Bombyx mori: one gene and its partner. The protein of the gene in region 1 purifies or fractionates together with the protein of each later gene. This does not show direct contact. Links are inferred from orthologs where the notes say so. Each region holds a gene or a part of one and is shown in the gene's direction. Other genes may lie near its edges.

Region 1 (4,019 bases):
TGATCATGTTGCCAACACAAAGAAACAAAAAATAAAGATACAAAAAAAAAAAACAGCCAGTACGTTAAAAAACAAAGTACCTACCCTGTAAACAATCCCGTTGCGGTCGTTATATAAAAAGCAGTAATCCACAGACATGTGTCTCTGTTTTTAGCTATTTCCAAGGCCATTTGGCGTTCTTGCATTTGATATTGTAGTTGTATTTGTCTCTCCATCTGTAACAATAAATCACTGGTGTATCACCGTAACAGCTTTAAATAAATAATGACACCATCGCAGTAAAATATTAAATACCTTGACTTTGTTTATAGTTTGCAAGAATTCTTGGTTCCTTTTGTAATTTTCTTCCATGCTGACGCTGAACAAATTACCCATTATCCTTTTATTTACGTGTCCGATAGACCGACAAAACAAAAGAGTAATTTAGACTATCTAATGTAGGTACCTACGTCTTTTCTCTAGATCTATCAGCTGTTTACTGTCAAATACAAATAGCCATGATTACAGAGTAGGTAGGTAAACCAATGCAAAGTGTTTTTTAGATTACGGATACAAATACTGAAAGCTGCAATAAATTAATTTAATATTAATATTAAATTCCAAAAGATAAATACCCTAAAATTTATCTTCGCAGACGTACAAAAGTAATTGTTCTAAAATTAAATTACTTTATTTTTATCCATTATCGTGTAAAAAATCTTTAAAATCGATTTTGTTGGTTGCGTTGTTGAAATCTACCATTGAAGTTTTTGCTAGGAATGCGAGGAGTGAAAACATGTAAATTGTTTTATTTTGTTTGTTTTATTTTAGTTTTGTTCTAATTTTATTAGAATATTTCGAGCTTAAATCTTTAATATATATGTTAGCCATAGCTTATTAACCAAAGTCATCATCATCATTTAATTTTTTGTCGCATTACCTCATCTAGTTTCTTCTTCTTCTTTTTCTTTCTTCTTTAGTAGGTATAGATTAGTAATTTTTAGTTTAGTATTTTTATTTTAGTTGGCGGTACTTATTAATTCCATGCTTCTAACATATTAAAAATTCAAATGAATTGATTGCATTTCGTATCACTCTTTGTCATTTTTCATAGCACACAGTATTGTCATACTAAAACCACTGAAGTATGAAACCTACACCTAAAAAAAATCAACAAAGAAACTGGTACATATGTCAGCTGTCCAAATTGCAGCTTGTGTTACCTATGTCAAAACTCCCGCTAAATTTATATGATGTATTGAATAGTACTGTAAAATTAGTTAAAGTTATTTGAATCAAATCAAAATGGGTATTCTAGGTTTATCTAAGTTAATTGCTGACATAGCACCTCATGCTGTCAAAGAAATGGAAATCAAAAATTACTTTGGTAAGACATTCACTTCATAAATTATACTTATTTCTTGAGATATAAGCCTCGTGTATAAAAAATACTATTTTTTCGTATTCTCAGGAAGAAAAATAGCTATTGATGCTTCTATGAGCTTATATCAGTTCCTTATCGCCGTAAGAAGTGAAGGTAAGTAATGTTTTGATTCATAAAATTCTTTGCGGATGTAAGAATTTTGTTGGTTGAGATATGGTATAGGTGGTCTTCTTATTAGATCGTTATGAAAACTCTTGATAAAAGATAAAGTAAGAGTATATTAATAATGTAACATAATGGTGAAATTATGGTTTTCACAAACAATAATAATAGGTATGCCATTATTTACATAAAGATTTTTCTAAAAGATTAATAACGACAACAAAAGCAACTTCAAACTAATCAAATTCATTAATTATAGTAATTTTTGTTTAGTATCCACTCATCTATTTTTAATATATCCCAGATAAATATATATAAGATTAAACTGTAATATCACATAGTGCTTGAAAAAATACATTTCATTTAGTAGCCACATTATTTCATTAAGTTTTTAATGAATCTTACTTTTTTCCATCCTATTCCTTAGTAGCCTAAGCATTGACTAGTAATAAAAGTCTTTGTCAATAATTTGATAGGAAATGCACCACAAATTACTCATTAATTATTTTAGGAGCCCAACTAGTCTCTGTAGACGGAGAGACTACATCACATCTGATGGGTACATTTTACCGTACTATAAGACTGGTAGAAAATGGGATTAAACCAGTGTATGTCTTTGACGGGAAACCTCCAGACATGAAGGCTCATCAGTTGAATAAGAGAGCAGAAAGGAGAGAGGAAGCAGAGAAAGAATTGCAAAAAGCTACTGAAGCCGGTAAGGTTGTTCTATGATTTACTCTGGAAACTTTGCAAATAACAACACATGGTACATTTGTGTTAGGCAGTTGTCTGTTTGTGACCAAAAGTTGCAAGTGTCCAAAAGTAAATTGTAATAAAACGAAAGTAAATTGTAATTTAAGCATTAATCTACCTTTTGTCATTGTTTTGTGAGTGAAAAACATATATTGAAATATCCTGAAACTTCCTTACCTAATGATTTTCGCATTTATAGCATAAAATTTAAAACTACAAAAACATAAAAACATTTCAGGTGACACAGCTTCAGTGGACAAGTTCAACAGACGTTTGGTTAAAGTAACAAAACAACACAGTGAAGAGGCTAAACAACTCCTCAAATTGATGGGTGTCCCGGTTGTTGATGCACCCTGTGAGGCTGAAGCCCAGTGTGCAGCTCTTGTATGTAGTCTTTTATATATTCATCAAGTTATGTACTTAATTACTAGTGACACTACTAACTGTAAAACTATGCTCTTCAATGATTTTGACTGTACCAATCTCTTAAACTATTGAAAAAATATGCAGTGTATAAATAATTGTGCTTGAAGCTCCAGCAGCATCATGTTCTTACAATATGCAGCATATGTAATAAATTGACAATAATGATGACTTGGGAAATGATTGCTTTTTTTTCTTACATGGATGGACTAGCTCACGGCCCACATGGTCTAAAGTGGTCACTGGACTCTATAAACATTAACAACGTAAATACTGCTACTCACCTTGACACATGAGTTCTAAGTCTCAGATTTATAATTTAGTAGTATTTATAGTATTATAGTTAGATTAACAATGCCCCATCCATCAAACAGAAACTCTTTTCATGGCAGAAATAAAGAGGGTGGTGGTACCCCACCAGTAACTAAGTAGATATATTGATTTGATACAAATGCAATGAGCGTCTTAATCTTCAAGCCACTACGAAAAAATTAACTATCTGTACTATGATACTACCTACTTCTTAACACAAGAAATACTTACAGGTAAAATCCGGTAAAGTTTTTGCAGCAGCCACAGAAGATATGGATGCCCTAACCTTTGGTGCACCAGTGCTATTGAGACACTTAACGTTTTCTGAAGCAAGGAAAATGCCCGTGCAAGAATTCCATTTAAATAATGTACTACAGGGATTGGAATTGAAACAGAATGAGGTTCATTAACACATTTTCATTAGTTAGCATCGTCGTCAGGTTTGAGCCCCGTGAGCTCACCTACTAGTTAAGGTTCCGCTGGAATAGCCTCTCTAGGCTACCAGCTTAGGAAGGAAAAAAAAAAGAGTCGTGGCATTCCGTATCAGACAGTCATTCAGTCCGTATCGGACGGTCCGTCCGTCTCAGTCAGTGAGTCTCTGGCAGTCAGTCAGTCGGTCTGTCGCTATGTGGAACGAAACTGTCGGTTTACCCTGTCATTGTGAAAGTTGTGTGTTTTGAGTTTCAATAATTATTATTCAAAAGTTTTATTGACTAAACTGAGTTCAATCGAATACAAGTGATGACGGAAACAACCGCTTAGCCATCCCTGGCGCTGCGCCGACATATAGATAATTATTACATCTAATTAGCGTTATATATGTGCCACAATGTCAAACCTCTAAACAGTTCCCTCTAAAAATTTCAAATGCATTGTTGTTAAATAATCGGTGAGTTTAATCACATATTTTACAAGAGTGCTACAATAGTCTGGATTTATATAGACAGCTACATTAGATACTAACTGGAAGAGGTGGAGGTTGTGGCATCAAGACTTTTTTTTTATA
Region 2 (2,367 bases), on another chromosome or scaffold:
CTGATATTGATATTTCTCTGAAAAATAATCTTTTTTTTATTTTTTTTATTGCCCTTGTAGGCAGACGAGCATACGGCCCACCTGATGGTGAGTGGTTACCGTCGCCCATGGACTTCAGCAATGCCAAGGGCAGAGCCTAGCCGCTGCCTACCTAAGAATAAAATGAAGTTTTCTCATCAAAGTATCTGTTGTACAATAACATCTTCTTGAATGACCTTAATGATAATTCCTTTTGATACTATATAAACTATTATATGTATGAATGTGTGTATGTATATGTAAATTTTCATTGCACCTACAACTGTTTACTCTGCACTACCTTTGGTTGAATGTTAGAGAATGCCTTAGGCATTAAGGTCCGCCAATGTAATTCTTACCTGAAGTGCAATAAATAAATAATGAAGGTTCTTTCTTCTCCGTCAGTATCACTCTTAACAGAATGGTCGTGGTCATCAAAGTCGAAATCAAAATTATTAATGTATGATACTGTTACGTTCTGAGGCTCGGAATAGACAAAACTTTCACCGAAGTACAAATTAAAATACTATTCAACACTTAGAACATTCAAAACACATTTCACAAATCGCAATTCGTTTCTTCCGCTTCGCTTCAGGTGATACGCTCGCTGTTTCGCTTCGAGTAGTTCCGATTACTGACTGCCTTCATGTCATCTTTGCAACGCTTTTATAGTCAACACGACAAGTCTGCAATTATCGAGAACATTCCCGATAGTACTAGTCGTTTCGATGTGTGCTTCCACCCTCAGACACAGCCCATTGAGTTTCTCGCCGGATCTTCTCAGTGGGTCGCGTTTCCGATCCGGTGGTAGATTCTGCGAAGCACGGCTCTCGCTAGGATTCGTGATAGCAACGTCGTCAGGTTTGAGCCCCGTGAGCTCACCTACTAGTTAAGGTTCCGCTGAAATAGCCCCTCAAGGCTATCAGCTTAGGTAGAAAAAAAACTGCTCTTTGATAATAGATGGCGCTACACTTCTCGAACGTTCTCGGTATTACTAGCTTTTTTGACATCAATTTCGGCTAATTAGCGATAGATGGCGTTACTCTTACCGGCGTAACCGTATCAACATATATTACTTCAAACTTTAACAGGGTTTAACAATTAAATTTATTAGTATTTTTTCTTTTATTGTACAGGATCGATCCTGTATCGAAGTGCCTGAGTGCTCGGACACACTGCAGAGCTTCAGCTGTGAACGAGAACTGACCCTCAAATATCAACTCCACCACCTCAGGCTCTGCATGAAAGCTCTAGCTATTTCAAATAAGGTACAAATCTCAAACTATAACTACTATTACTATTGTTACTATACTACTACTACAAACTAATGTAACTATACTTGAGACCTTAGAACTTATATCTCAAGGTGGGAGGCGCATTTACGTTGTAGATGTCTATGGACTCCAGTAACCACTTAGCAACGGGTGGGCTGTGAGCTAGTCCAGCCGTCTAAGCAACAACAAAAAAAACGAACCCTCTGTGAGCTAATCTACTCTATAGTTAAATTGATTTTCATGTGATTTTTAGCAGAAACCACATTCAGTATATTTATAACACATTTAGTCTAAGATCCCGCTGCAGGATTGGTGCGTTCATCGATTTTTTGCTTAAAACCAAATTTTTATGTTTATTTATAATTAGGAGAATATATATTTACTAGGGTGCCTATCAAAATTTGGCCGCCATTATTTTTAATTAAATTATTTTTAATTGATTTTTGGTAAAAAGTTTCGTTTATTTATTTTTTAAATAAAATAACGTCTACATCACGGTAATTTATATGAAGGTTCTAAAAAATCACGGTTGCCGTTGCGCACCTGGCCGCACCTCTTCGCAGCCAGGTGTAAACAGGTATGATTTCGATACATTTATACGTTCATAACGTATATTTATTAATTATATGTCAAATTGAAGCTAATTTTTTTCTATTAATTATCATATATGGTTGCTTAATTAAATCTGGCCGCAAATAAGGGTTACTGGCTGTTAAAGATGATAAATATTTAAGGTAGAGTGAAAGAGAGTTAGCGCGTAACATCATTTGTTAGACGAGGATAGCGATTGCCGGCTGTGCGACGCTTTTAAGCCATTACGCATGCGTCGATTGTTAGTGTTCTCAACCACCGGGGAGTAATAGAGACGACTTATAATAAATACTCCAAAAAATATGTATTTTTTCTCAAAATGACAAATTTAAAAATTACTAGATTTTATTCAAGTATTTAATCGTCTGCTACTTACATATTAATTTAATATTTAAGCAAATTAAAATTTTAAAAATTATACTATATTTCCGCAACTTTTATGCGTAATGGCTTAAAAGGTTGCCAAATTTTGATAGGCACCCTA

What was found.
Region 2: the proteins of flap endonuclease 1 (region 1) and cell cycle checkpoint protein RAD1 purify together in Homo sapiens (affinity purification with western blotting; 3 studies listed by BioGRID). This does not show direct contact. The link is inferred for Bombyx mori from reciprocal best matches to the Homo sapiens genes FEN1 and RAD1.

Annotation. Positions count from the first base shown.
Region 1 is NC_085126.1:8,809,277-8,813,295, forward strand, and holds the start of flap endonuclease 1, read left to right. Parts: upstream 1-1,140; 5' UTR 1,141-1,284; coding exon 1,285-1,366; intron 1,367-1,450; coding exon 1,451-1,516; intron 1,517-2,036; coding exon 2,037-2,240; intron 2,241-2,516; coding exon 2,517-2,662; intron 2,663-3,246; coding exon 3,247-3,414; intron 3,415-4,019. Other genes in the region: plasminogen receptor (KT), read right to left, coding at 85-215, 295-375. UniProt on the Homo sapiens protein: Structure-specific nuclease with 5'-flap endonuclease and 5'-3' exonuclease activities involved in DNA replication and repair.
Region 2 is NC_085122.1:11,571,164-11,573,530, forward strand, and holds part of cell cycle checkpoint protein RAD1, read left to right. Parts: intron 1-1,154; coding exon 1,155-1,286; intron 1,287-2,367. UniProt on the Homo sapiens protein: Component of the 9-1-1 cell-cycle checkpoint response complex that plays a major role in DNA repair. The 9-1-1 complex is recruited to DNA lesion upon damage by the RAD17-replication factor C (RFC) clamp loader complex.